Callithrix jacchus: one gene and its partner. The protein of the gene in region 1 interacts with the protein of each later gene in a biochemical or structural test. Links are inferred from orthologs where the notes say so. Each region holds a gene or a part of one and is shown on either strand. Other genes may lie near its edges.

Region 1 (7,405 bases):
AAAGAGCCTGACAGTGAGGTCTGGTTCTCTGGAAAGTCCCAGCGAGGTTTTTTGGTCCTGATGAAACTGTTCTCCATTTCACAGCAGTCATCCTAAATACTCCAGAAAAGGTCTGTGAGGAGGGTGACTCACTTCTCATCTTCTACAGTCCTACAGGCAAGGACTAGAGTCCAAGACAAAGCCCATGCTGATGGCCCAGTGAGGCCAGGAAGCAGGCAGGAACATCCTCTCCAGGCCAAGGCCAGCTCCACCCAGACAAGGCCACACATCGCAGGGCGGGGTGACCGGACATGTCCAGGGAGTGGAAGTCCCCAAAGCTGGAAGCTAGCTCTGCTCATCCTGCAGCTGGCTGTCCTGCTTGGCTTGTGGCGAGTGGAGGCAAGTCCCTGCCCGCCTGGAGCCATCAGATGTACTGCTCCTCATCCCTGTCATTCAGGAGCAGAGACCACTTGTCCCCACCATCATCCACTGTAGCGCTGTGCCGGGATGGCTTGTCAGACGTCAGGGAGGACAGCGACACCTGGCTGACATAGCTGACCTGGTCCCATGGCGTGGCCCTGGGGGAGTCCCTCCGCCTGTCATCCATGCCGATGTGCACACTGACCTGGGATGCCGTCAGGGGCTTTATGCGGCCGTGCACCTGTGCCTCGTACCTCTCCAGTTCAGGCTTCTTATAGCTGGAAAGCAGGAATGCAACAGCATCTGAGCCATTCTAGATACAAGGCTCTTTTTTTTCTAACCTGGTGAAGGCCTCTCATCCATCTTTTCATAACATTCAGTATAAAAACCTCAAGAGTTTCAAAGGAAAAGGGCATTAAACTCCCTATGGTTCCAGGAAAGCTCAACTGATTTAGAAACTTCCTAAGCAAATGCTTTATGCTGCCACTAACTTTAGTTAAATGAATGGACTCATAAATAAGTGAACATCTTGTTTAAAGGAAACAATGATAGATAATACACAGGGACCCATGTCTGCATGATGTTCACATAACAGCCCTTGAGCGGCAGAGTAAGGGCAGCCTGGCATGAGGCTGCACAGCAGTGAACTGCCTGCTCAGGGTGCTAAGTCACACGCACACACACCTGGCTCCATGTGGGCTGCCACTGCAGCATTTATCCCAGGCAAATGAATGGGGAGTGAGAGGCAAGACCCACTGTGCCTTGAGCATGCAGAGTGACAGAGCCTCCTGGGAGCCTCTCACAGATGCCCCACCTGCAGGGACTCACCACTTGAGCTGCAGGGATGAGAGCACCACAGACACGGAGGAGGCTGCCATGGCTGCCGAGCCCATCCAGGGCTGCAGCACAATGCCGATGGGCATGAAGACACCTGGGGAAGAAAGAACTCACACTCACACCTAGGCCTGGGAGAGGAGCCAGGAGAGGGCCTCCAGCACCAGGCTAGCCCCACCCTCAGTGGCCCCCTTGGAGGTCTCCTCCTGGCATGCTTGGAAGCACCTGCTGATGGGTCTTGCCTATAGGTCCCCAAAGCGAGGCTTCCTAGAAAGATGGGTGTGGGGTGCTGTCGAGTGGGCCTGACTCTCTTCTACTCGCCCTCATGTTCCCAGAACCACACACAGATGGCATCCCATTTCAGGGCCAGCTCCACAGGAGTGGCAAAGCACAGGGAGTGGGAGGGGCGGGGGAGGAGAAAAGTGGCAGGAGGTGAGGGAGCCAGTAGCCCATCCTGCAGCCATAGTCCCGCAGAGGATAATCACGGCTGAAGGCCACAGCCCTTGTCTAGAAGATAATGTTGACTCCAGGGCTTCGTAACATCTTCAAGAGAAGAATGAGAGCTGGGTTCCAGGACAGGGTCAGGAGACAGGTATGGTCAATTTTGCATGGCAGAGGCACACACACTGGGGGAATGAAGCTCCTGAGCTGGCTCTAGGGACAGGAAATAAACCTGCCTGACTGACTCACTGGGCTCAGGAGGCCAAGGCCCAGTTATACACATCATCACTAACCACTCAGACACAAGGGAAACCCAGGCAGGAATGCTGAGTTTACAAACTTGATCTCTCTTAAGCCCATGGAGGAGCACTGCCTTGCAGAAGGGTCTGGAAGTTTTCCCTGCCATATTCCATGGAATAGAGGGCAGGAGAGAGGCGGTTGCTGGGGAGGGGGAAGGAGGAGGAATTACAAAGCAGAAAAATCCATTTATTTTCCTTTTTTCTTTTCCTGAGAGTTTCACTCGTGCCCGGGCTAGAGCGCAGTGGTGTGATCATGGCTCACTGCCACCTCCAGCTCCTGGACGCAATACATCCTCCTGCCGCAACCTCTGTACTCCCAGATGGGACTAAGGTATATGCTACCATGCCCAGCTAATTTTAAAATGTTATGTAAAGGGAGACTCTATGTTGCCCAGGCGGGTCTTGAACTCCTGAGCTCAAGTGATCCTCCTGCCTTAGCCTCCCAAAGTGTTGGGATTACAGGCATGAGACAGCATGCCTGGACAAAAAGCCATTTCTTTCCATGATCATCTGTATAAATCAGAGTGAAACTGGGCAGGATTAGTGTCCAATATAAGGTTCTGAAACACCAGCAATTGTGCCTAACATGGTTGGGTGTGGTGGCTCACACCTGTAATCACAGCACCTTGCAAAGACAAGGCTGGCGGATCATCTGAGGTCAGGAGCTCAAGCCTGGCCAACATGGTGAAACCCCATCTCTACTAAAAATACAAAACTTAGCTGGGCATGGTGGCACATGCCTGTAATTCTAGCCACTTGGGAGCCTGAGGCAGGAGTATTGCTTGAACTGAGGAGGTGGAGGTTGCAGTGAGACAAGATTGTGCCACTGCACTCCAGGCTGGGCGACAAGAGTGACACTCCATCTCAAAAAAAAATGCTCCTAGCATGTAGCAGGTGCCTCATAATTCTTACTAATGATGAATTCTCAGACTATATGTCTTAACAAATGGTTCAAAAACATACCCAAGCATCTCCACTAGCTTTTTAGAAAGGATCAGAGTGGATGAAGGCTTTGGGTCCTCTCAGCACTTTCTCATTTACCTTTAGAGACATATAAAGCAGGGGACATAACAAAACCAGCCTTTCTAAAACGCCTCTAGCCAGCCAGTGAGTAAGCCACTCACTAACCTCAGCAGGAACCCAGGAGGGAGAAGCCTTTCTGGGCACAGCTGAAGCACAGTAGTTAAGAGCTGCCTACCTGCCGCAATGGGTATCCCAACCAGGTTATAAATCAGTGCCAGGACCAGGTTGATGCGTATCCTCCGGACAGTCCTCTTGGAAAGGTGAATGCTAGCCACCACATCCAGCAAATCATTCTAAGGGAGAGGAGCACGCGGTGAGGAAGGGGTCTGCCCATCGCCCTCCCAGCTCCCACAGCCTGGCTACAGCTGTGCTCACTCTAATGAGGACGACGTCGGCTGCCTCAATGGCCACATCTGTGCCAGTGCCGATGGCGACACCCATGTCTGCCTGGGCCAAGGCCGGAGAGTCATTCACCCCGTCTCCCACCATGGCGACTTTCTTCCCTTTGTTCTGAAGCTCCTGGACCTTGGCCACCTTGTGGGAAGGCAGCACCTCTGCAAAGACTTTGTTGATGCCAACCTAAGAGGAAAGGAAGGCAACGCCTGGTGTTGGCAAAAGGTATCGAACTGCAGCAGAAACCCCAAGTTACCCTTGCCCCCTCTGCCCCTGGGTCCAGTCAGTGATGTTGGTCAACTATACCCTGCAGGTTTGCTGTCATAAGGCCACCTTCTCCCTGGCTCCTGCCCCAACACCCTATACTGGTTTAGGACCCGTCCTTTCCTGGATGTGCAAACAGCCCCCTTGCTGTTCTCCCTGTCCACCGCTTAGTCCCCCAACTCTCTTATCCATGTGCTGCCTCCACAGTCTTCCCAAAGCAACTGTGTGGCCAAGTCCCTACTCTCCTGCCTCACATCCTCCAGAGGACCCCACGCACTCCCAGAGGAGGGCAGCTCAACTCTCTGGGGTCTGCTTCCGAGGCCCCCAGGGTCCCAGGGTCTGGCCTCTGCCTGACGGCCTGCAGCTGGTGTCACACTCAACCACACCATTCAGCTCCCCGCAGCATCTCCAATCACCTTGCTACTCTGTGCCCCTGGGAAATGCTCCTGCTGCTGGTTGTGTCCTGGAAGGTGCAGTTTCCCTTTCCTAGTCCCTCTCCCGCTTCTCAGCTCTATGCCCTGTCCCTGGTCCACCTTTCCATAGGACCATAAGCCCCTCAAGCGCAGAGCCCCTTTCACTCCTCACAGAGCCTGGCCCCACACCTGACTGTCACATTTGTGGTATTTTGTAAGTGTCCGCTGAACAGATGAACAAGTGTTAGCCAGGAAATGGGGGATGGACACTCAATAGGTCCATTGTTAGCAAGGAGGACCACGGAAAACAGGGGTCCTGATTTTTCCCTCATGGACATAATGAGGCTTTCAGATGACTAGAGCTCTGCACGCATTTGGAGGGGTGTAATTTCTAGGAATCTAAACTGGAGCCACTGCTATGTGGGGAGCCAGGCAGCCCTCCAGTGGTGCTGTGCTCACAGCCCAAACTCAGCACCAAGGGCTGCTGGAGAACTGCCCAGGACCAAGTCACTTATCTGGGCACCCCAGTGAGAAAAGCTGAGCTGGCAAAATCTTCCCTTAACATAAAAATTAGAAAATGTCTATCTTAGCCCTTAAGCCACAAACTTTTTTTCCATCACGAAGACTAGAAGAAGGTTAGAGAACAGCAGAATTCCTTTTTCTAGGATGCATGCGCTCAGGCCCCAGGGATAAGATCTCTGCACAGCAGCACAGCACTCGTGGAACACTGCACAGCCACAGAATGATGCACGTGGAGAGAAAAGCACCCAGTGAAGGGGAAAGAGCAGGAGTACTGCTGAGCGCTGGGCCAACTGGTGCTTACTTTTGCCTCTAACTGCTACTATGAGCTTTACACAGTTTGCAACATTAAAGGGCTGTACCTGGGTGGCAATGGCTCTGGCTGTCTTCCGGTTGTCCCCCGTGATCAGAACCACATCTACACCCATGCTCTGCAGCGTGTGCACAGCCAAGGCGGCCTCCTGCTTGACAGCATCTGCTATAGCAATCATCCCACAGAGCACACCTGGAGCAAACCAGCCAGCATCAGCAGCTACACAGGATAGGGCACCCCGCACGGAGCTACCATACTTGCAATGTTCTCATCATACAGTGTTATGTGCAAAAAACAAACACCAGATTATATATAATAATACCATGGGGTTTTCTAGCTTTTTAAAAAGTACACACATTTTACAGACACACACAAGAGTCTAGAAGCAATATAATTAAAATCTTTGCAGTGGCGCCCTGAAGAAGAGGATTATGAGTAATTTCATTTTCTTCTTTATAGCTGAATTTTCCAAACTTTCTGCAAGGAGAATGGATGACATTTTGCAAGGTGCCGGGCTTGAAATAAGAATTCAATACACATTAGCTACTAAAATTTGAGAAATATAACAGATGTCACTTAAAGTGGTAACTGTCCAAACTAGAAAATCAATCCTTCATTTGCCTTTTCCTACAGAAAACATTTCTGCAGCATTTTGCTTTTAGTGTATCTTTTTAGTTATAGAAGCAGGGGGGCTCTTAGGGCTGAGGTGTAAATGAGAACAGAGTGAGGGATGACATATGAGAGGGCACGACTCCTTTAGTTGTGCCAATTCTGGTTTGACAGCTGAGAGGACTTTATAAAGACTTGGAAAAAATTGAAAAAAAAAAAAAAAAAAAAAGAGAATGTGAGAGGAAGACATATTTGGCTGAAGCATTCAAAACGTGGTGTCATAAGTTTTATTTCTTGCTTGCATATACTGTTACTTCTATTAGCAGAAACTTATATTAACAAAGTAAAGACTCTACTCTCTCTGGTATGTAAAGCCCAGGATAGAATCTGAGCACTAAAACACATGCAGTCTTGAGACCTGTACTCTGTGCACAACCAGTCTGTATAAAGCACAGACAGAAGGGCCGTACATGGTGGCTCACACCTGTAATCCCAGCACTTTAGGAAGCCGGGGTGGGCAGATCACCTAAGGTCAGGAGTTTCAGATCAGCCTGGTGAAACCCCATCTCTACTAAAAATACAAAAATTAGCCAGGCATGCTGGCAGGTGCCTGTAATCTCTGCTACTCAGGAGGCTGCAGCAGGAGAATCACTTGAACCCAGGAGGTGGAGGTTGCAGTAAGCCGAGATTGTACCACTGCACTCCAGCCTTGGTGACAAGAGCAAAACTTGGCCTAATAATAATAATAATTAATAAATAAAGTAGATAGAGAAGAGCAGCATGGATCTCATTATTTAAAGGTGTCCTGTAGTTAAACCTGTTTCCTGCTCTGTCTACAGGGATGAATGAGAAGGATGACTCTGAACTGCCCACCTGGACAAGAGCAACAATGATAACAAAGACAGTTTAGAATTCCAAGGTCAAGAAGACTGAGGCCAGACCACAGCTGGCTCTGGGGCCAAGATGGAGACCGTGGGAAAGAACGAAAAGACAAAAAGACAATCTTTTTGAAGACGTGAAATTAAAGAGAGGAAGGTTTTTGTTTTTCATTTCTTTTTTAAAGGAGGACTCTTTTGCCAGATATCTGCAGAAAACTGCATTTCTGAGAGAGCGGAAGGAAGGCAGAAGCAGGAGATACCATCAATAGCCACCAGGATGGCCGTCTGTCCTTTCATCTCGTGGTCTGTCATAGCGTCACTGACATCGTTGGAAATGGTTAAGCCGTTGCGCCTCAGCCATTCGCGGTTTCCAATCAGCACAGAGAAGGTCTGGGGGGCTGCATCTATTCAAAAGAGGCTGTGGTTATTCCTAAATAGTCCAATTTCACTATAAACTAAAAACCATGTAATCCTTTTAATAGCAAAATATCCATTTAGCCATTCTGAAAAACTGTTACCTAGTAAGCACCTCCTGTGACAGCATCCTTTAGGACAAGAAAAAAAGTAAAATTAATTTGTAGGACATGTGGGTATGAATTAAGATGGGGCATTAATAGTACATGCTATATGGGTGGAAACGGTATAAACATACTAAACATAAGGCAACGTCCGTCTCTGTCTTAGAGGTATCCACTGATTCTTTTTCTGCAGGGATTAGAAGCACTTATTTATTTCCCCAGCACCCAAAGCAAGTGTTGACGATGTTCATTACTGCTTGGTATCGATGACCCCACGTGAATCAACAAATAATCAGACAAGTCTATATGAAATGTTTAAAACTGCAACTCCTGAGGCTGATGCATCTCTTACCTGTCACTTTCTAACAGTGTGTGCTGCTAACTGAGGTGTCACTGCACAGCCAGGCTCTCATGGAAAGGCCATCCCTGGGTTTTAAACGGCTGGAAGGTGGTGGATGGCTTACAACCACACAATCTAAGTCACAATTTCACTACCAACACT
Region 2 (6,989 bases), on another chromosome or scaffold:
TCATTTTCTATTAACATTTTTTTTTTTTTTTTTGGACTGGGCATGGTGGCTCACACCTATAATCCCAGCACTTTGGGAGGCCGAGGTTGGTTGATCACTAGGTCAGGAGTTCAAGACCAGCCTGACCAACATGGTGATACCCTGTCTCTACTAAAAATACAAAAAAAAAAAAAAAAAAAAAGTGCTTTTATGCAGGGGGCGGGGGGGCGGGGGAGACAGAGTTTTGCTCTTCTTACCCAGCCTAGAGTGTAATGGTGTGATCTCAGCTCACTGCAACCTCAGCTCACTGCAGCCTCCGCCTCCTGGGTTCAAGTGATTCTCCTGCCTCAGCCTCCCAAGTAGGGATTACAGGCATGTGTCACTACACCCAGCTAATTTTGTATATTTAGTAGAGAGAGGGTTTTTCCATGTTGGTCAGGCTGGTCTCGAACTCCCAACCTGAGGTGATCTGCCCACCTTGGCCTCCCAGAGTGCTGGGATTATAGGCATGAGCCACTGTGTCTGACCTATGTTAAGATTTTTTTAAATGGGGCTGGGCACAGTGGCTCACACCTGTGATCCCAGCATTTTTTGGAAGGCTGAGGTGTGCAGTTTGCCTGAGCTCAGGAGTTCTTGAGACCAGCCTGGGAAACATGGTAAAACCACATCTCTACAAAAAATAGCAAAAGAATTAGGCAGGCATGGTGGCACATGCCTGTCCTTCCAGTTACTGTGTGGGGCCGAGGTGGGAGGATCACTTCAGCCCGGGAGTTTGAGGCTGCAGTTAGCAAGACCTGTATCCAAGAAAAAAGAGAGATTTTTTAAAACGATAACAATTTTTAAAATTTTGTCCTTTTCTCTTTACTTCAAAAAAAAAGTTTTTAATTAATTTTGAATCACTCACATGCAGATTTTTTTTTTTTTTTTTGAGATGGAGTCTTGCTCTGTTGCCCAGGCTAGAGTCCATTGGGGTGATCTCGGCTCGATGTAACCTCTGCCTCATGGGTTCAGATGATTTTCAGCTAATTTTTGTATTTTTCATAGAGACATGGTTTCACTGTGTTGGCTGGGCTGGTCTTGGGCTGCTGATCTCAAGTGATCCACCTGCCTTTGCCTCCCAAAATGCTAGGATTATAGGCATGAGCCACCGTGCCTGGCCCTGTAGATATTCTTAAAGCACCTCTTTTGAACAGCCATTCTCATCTAGCCTTGTCATTTCAGAGCTGGGGAAACTGAGGCCCAGAGAGGGCTGGGATCTGGCCCTGGGGCTGAATGAGGTAATAATTGAGTTGTGATCAGAGTTTTGGCAGTGCCTGCACTCAGTCAGCCTTTCTCAGATTTTTTCCTTTTCTTTCTCCTTGACATGAACTATCACAAAATTTTCTAAAAAAAATTTTTTAAACCGTAAATAATAATGATATTAAGTTTTCAAATGGCTTCCACATGGATGTGATCTTATTAGCAGTCCTCTGAGCTGTACTTTCCATCTTTGGAATGGGGATATTGAGGCCAGTGCTCAGGAGGGGAAGTGACTTGCCCAGAGTCCCACAGTGAGTCAGTGGTTGGCCTCTAGCCCTGTGAACTGGGATCTTAATATGAAAGAACCTGAGGCAGTGGAAAAAACCTGGCTGCTGACTTGCTACGTGACTGTGGGCTCTTCTTCCTTAGGCCTGGGTTTCCCCAGCTGTAGTATGGGAATTATATCTTGTATATCTGTATCAGCTTTTGCTGTTGATGCTTTTTTTTTTTTTTCTGAGATGGAGTTTCGATCTGTTGCCCAGGCTAGAGTGAAGTGGTGCAACCTCGGCTCACTGCAACCTGTGTTCCCGCCCCATGCCAGGCTCAAACAATTCTCTTGCCTCAACCTCCTGAGTAGCTGGGATTAAAGGTGCCCACCACCAAGCCTGGCTGATTTTTTTTTTTTTCTTTTGAGACAGAGTTTCACTCTTGTTGCCCAGGCTGGAGTGCAATGGCACAATCTCGGCTCACTGCAACCTCCACCTCCCAAGTTCAAGCGACTCTCCTGCCTTACCCTCCCGAGTAGCTGGGATTACAGCCACATGCCACCACACTGAGCTAATTTTTGTATTTTTAGTAGAGACAGAGTTTCACCATGTTAGCCAGGCTGGTCTTGAATTCCTAACCTCAGGTAATCCACCCACCTCAGCCTCCCAAAGTGCTGTGATTAAAGGCATGAGCCACCATGCCCAGCCAACCATATGATTTTTAAGGTCCCTTGCTGGAGGATCTGCCTTTGAGCTTCAGCGTCATCTTTTGTCCCCATCTTTTCCTACTGTCCCCTTTTGTGTGACCTCTTGAGAAGGGTCAGGAGGGTTTTCTGAGTTGCTTAGGACCCTAAAAGAACGATGCTAGGGCTGAGGAGTCACAGACTAGTGGCATCCTTGAGCTGGAAAGACCACAGGAGCTGGCCAGCCCTGACTCCTTCATATACAGATGAGGTAGCTGAGGCCTGTAAGAAGCAGGACCCGCCATCACCCCGTGGTCACCCAGCAAGTCAACTGTGGGGCCAGGCCTACAACCTGTTGAGTTTCCCTTTCTTTCTGCACTGTTTTGTCAGAATAAAACTCTAATTCCTCCCATAGGCTGCTGGGGAGCTTTAAATTGGCATATACATTTAGGAGAGTGATTTTGCAATGTCTATTAAACATTAAAAATGTGCCAAACATCTGTTGCCCCACAATTTCCATTCTGTGAATCCATGGTATAAAAATATTTTTATAAATTTTTTAAGACAAGTTCAGGTATGTTTACTATAACATTATTGTGATAGTGGTGAAACTTAGAAGCATCCTCAGTGACCTTTAGCAGTGGATTAATTAAGTAGATGTGTGGTACATCCACACTATGGAAGATTGTAGCTTTTGATAAAAGAATGGGGTTGGGTGCAGTGGCTCATGCCTGTAATCCCAGCTACTCAGGAGGCTGAGGCAAGAGAATCACTTGAACCCGGGAGGCAGAGGCTGCAGCAGTGAGCTGAGATCACCCCACTGCGCTCCCACCTGGACGACAAAATGAGACTGTCTCAAAAAAAAAAAAGAATGGGCCAGCTACAGTGGCTCACACCTGTAGTCCCAGCACTATGGGAAGCTGAGGCAGGTAGATCGCTTGAGCCCAGAAGTTCAAGACCAGCCTGGACAATATGTAAAACTCTGTCTCTACATAAAATACAAAACTTAACCAGGCATGGTGGCATGTGCCTGTAGTTACAGCAACTTGGGAGGCTGAGACGGGAGGATCACGTGAGCCTGGGTGTTCGAGGTTGCAGTGATTTGTGAATGTGCCACTGTACTCCAGCCTGGATAACACAGTGATACCCTGTCTCAAAAAAAAAAAATTAAAATTAATGAAGAAAAAGAAAAGTAAAATATTAGCAAGACCGGTTTATACAATGTGATACCATTTGGAAGAGTTATTTTTCATTTGTCTATCTGTGATAGTCTGAATAGAAGCCGTACTTTTCACAGTGATCTCTGGGGGTAGGATCAGTAGGGGGCCTTACTGCTTCTACATATATTTAGAAATGTTTGCTTTTTTGAAAAAAAAAATTGGCTGGGTGCAGTGGCTCATGCCTGTAATCCCAGCGCTTTAGGAGGCCAAGGCGAGCAGATCACTTGAGGTTAGGAGTTCGAGACTAGCCTAGCCAACATGACTAAACCTTGACTCTACTAAAAATACAAAAATTTGCCAGGTGTGGTAGCATATACCTGTAATTCTAGTTACTCTGGAAGCTAAGGCACAAAAATCACTTATACCCAGGAGGTGGAGGTTGCAGTGAGCTGAGATCGTACCACTGCATTCCAGCTTGGGCAGTAGAGTGTGTCTGTGTCTCAAAAAGCCCTAGTATAGAGCAGGGATTAACACACTACAGCCCATGGACCAAATCCTACTCACAGCCTATTTTTGTACGTTCAAGAATGGAATTATAAAAACAGACAGAATGGCTGGGTGTGGTGGCTCACGTCTGTAATCCTAGCACTTTGTGAGGCTGAGGCATTAGACCAGCCTGGCCAACATGGTGAAACCTCGTCTCAACTAAAAATACAAAAATTAGCCTGTTCTAGTGGTGGGTGCCTATAATCCCTGCTACTTGGGAGGCTGAGGCAGGAGAATCTCTTGAACCTGGGAGGTGGAGGTTTCATTGAGCTGAGATCATGCCACTGCACTCCAGCCTGGGCAACAGAGTGAGACTCTGTCTCAAAAATAAATAAAATAAATAAATAAATAAAACAATATACAACAGAGTGCATATGTGGCCCACAATGCCCAAAACATTTACCTCCTGGTCCGTTACAGAAGAAGTTTGCCAATCCCTGCTCTAGAGAAAAGGGAAGGGGTAGTTGTGAGTAGTAATTTAGAGCCTGAACTCTTTCTTGCTGTAACTGGGAGGGTCTCTGCTCCCTTTCCCCACACCCTGTTTCCTCTTCCTGCAGGAGTTAAGTATGACATTGACCTGCCTAACAAGAAGGTCTGCATTGAATCTGAGCACAGCATGGACACTCTGCTTGCAACCCTGAAGAAAACAGGAAAGACTGTGTCCTACCTTGGCCTCGAGTAGCAGGGACCTGGTCCCCACAGCCCGCAGGATGGACCAAAGGGGGCAGGTGGGTGAGGCTCCAGCACTTGCTGAACAAACCTGCTGCTCACACTTCTCATCAGAGTTAACACCTTGGCCTTTGAGAGCTTGAGTGGAGCAGGAGAGCCCCCGGGTTCTTTTCAATCCACTGTCCACTTTCTTTGGAGTGGTTACAAATATATGTCTAATGCAAATCACAAGTTCAGGGAATCCTTACAGCCCCTGTCATTGGACAGAGCACTGTGTAATGTCTCCCAGAGTCCTCTTTAGGATGTGGGGGTTGCATTTCATGGTTAGCAGGGTTTAAGTTTATAGTATATGACCCTAAGCAATGCACCTTTGGCTTCTTGATTTGTTTGTTTCTTTGAGACAGTGTTTCACTCTGTGGCCCAGGCTGGAGGGCAGTAGCTCTTCATAGGTGTGATCACAGTGCACTGTATACTTTAACTCCTGGGCTCAAGTCATCCTCCTGCCCCAGCTTTCTAAGTAGCTGGAACTACAGGCACATATCACCATGCATGGCTCTGGCTTTGATAAACTGACTATCTCATCAGAGTTGACACTTTTGCCTTGGGCCTTGTTCTCTTGTACCCTGACCAAGTGAGTTAATTCAGACTGTGCCACTCTCTCTACTTGAAACTGTTGTCAGCTTCCTGCACATGCCCTCCTTCCAGCCTGGTACAAAAACAATAGCATATCTGAGCTAGATGTTCCCTTCACTTTTATGTAATCCAGTGAGGCAGTAAGGGGCACTGTGCCAGCACTCTTCACTCTGGAACCAGACACACCTTATTCATTGATTCAGCCACAGTCTCAGCAGGGCCCTCCCAGCTGCCACTGCCCCTGTAGTGTCTTTGACTTGTGAACTACAATGATCGCCACATCCCTGATGTGACTTAGTGCCCTGACTGTGATTGAGAAAAATGAGGCCAAGAGAGGGAAAGTGATTCAACCAAAGCCCCACCCAGGTGAGTGGCAAAGGCAGGAGGACAGTCAGATATCCTGAATTGGATTTCTGTAACTGTTACTGGTGGCATTGTCCCTGTGAATGGGTCCTGGAGACCCTCCAGATAGGAGCCAGCCACAGCTGACTGATAGTTCCTTCCCAAAGGTGTACATTTGGAACCTGAGCCACAGCAGTGCTCTGTGTATGTGGTGACATCAAATGCAAGTCACAAGATGTCACAGGCATCTGTTTTTGTCATGCACTTTTCATCCATAGCTAGAACCCATGTGCAGGAATGAGCCCAGGATGAATAATAAGGAATCCAGAATTCTTTTTTTTTTTTTTTGAGATGGAGTTTTGCTCTTGTTACCCAGACTGGAGTGCAGTGGCGCAATCTCGGCTCACCACAACCTCCACCTCCTGGGTTCAGGCAATTCTCCTGCCTCAGCCTCCTGAGTAGCTGGGGATTACAGGCACGCGCCACTATGCCCAGCTAATTTTTTGTATTTTTAGTAGAGACAAGGTTTCACCATGTTGACCAGGATGGTCTTGATCTCTTGACCTCGTGATCCACCCGCCTTGGCCTCCCAAGTGCTGGATTACAGGTGTGAGCCACTGCGCCCGGCCCTCTTTTTTTTTTTTTTTTTTTTGAGGCAGAGTCTTGCTCTGTTGCCCAGGCTAAAGTGCAGTGATACGATCTTCGCTCGCTGCAACGTCTGCCTCCCGGGTTCAAGCGATTATCAGCCTCATGAGTAGCTGGGATTACAGGCACCTGCCACTGTGCCAGGCTAATTTTTGTATTTTTAGTAGAGATGGAGTTTCACCATCTGGCCAGGCTGGTCTCAAACTGGCCTTGTGATCCACCCCCCTCAGCCTCTCAAAGTGGGATTATGGGCATGAGCCACTGTGCCCAGCCTGGAATCTAGGATTCTAATTCTCATTCTCTCCTCATTTCACACTGACTTTGGACACTTTTTATATTACAGAGATTTGTTCTTCCCAGCTGTAAAATGGAGCTAAAACCTCCAACCTGCTTTCCTGCCTTGTGGGGGTTGCTGTGCAATTTCTCCACATATGAAGGCTTATCCTCTAGGGAAGTAAAACATCAGCAGTTTCCAGCATCTTATAGAACACCGTTTCTTACATCCTACCTCCACCCCTAGGGTTTTGTAGGGAGGGTGAGTGGATGGGGCTCTGGACCCTCCAGAGCTCCCAGACAGCCCTATTGGGCTTTTCTGTAAGATTGTATTTGATAAAAGTGCCCTCTAACAAGAAGGAATGGAGGGAGAGAAGGAAAAAACCTCTTCCTGAGCTAGCTATATACATGGGGGAGTCCTAATGCACACATCTTAGATTAGAAACTCTTGGCCTGGGCATATGAACTTTTTTAACTAAAAAAGTATTATCTGTTGGATGTAAACCACATGAAGCTTAATGTGGTTTTCTCATAGGAAACATGTTTTCTCATGT

The links. The genes of interacting proteins can lie anywhere in the genome.
Region 2: the proteins of ATP7B (region 1) and ATOX1 form a complex in vitro, tested with the Homo sapiens proteins (3 studies listed by BioGRID and IntAct). The link is inferred for Callithrix jacchus from reciprocal best matches to the Homo sapiens genes ATP7B and ATOX1.

Annotation. Positions count from the first base shown.
Region 1 is NC_133502.1:63,898,365-63,905,769, forward strand, and holds part of ATP7B (copper-transporting ATPase 2), read right to left. Parts: intron 6,931-7,405; coding exon 6,904-6,930; intron 6,790-6,903; coding exon 6,646-6,789; intron 5,091-6,645; coding exon 4,948-5,090; intron 3,576-4,947; coding exon 3,372-3,575; intron 3,290-3,371; coding exon 3,172-3,289; intron 1,331-3,171; coding exon 1,228-1,330; intron 678-1,227; coding exon 404-677; 3' UTR 1-403. UniProt on the Homo sapiens protein: Copper ion transmembrane transporter involved in the export of copper out of the cells. It is involved in copper homeostasis in the liver, where it ensures the efflux of copper from hepatocytes into the bile in response to copper overload.
Region 2 is NC_133503.1:50,694,363-50,701,351, reverse strand, and holds part of ATOX1 (copper transport protein ATOX1), read left to right. Parts: intron 1-4,430; coding exon 4,431-4,555; 3' UTR 4,556-4,601; intron 4,602-6,989. UniProt on the Homo sapiens protein: Binds and deliver cytosolic copper to the copper ATPase proteins. May be important in cellular antioxidant defense.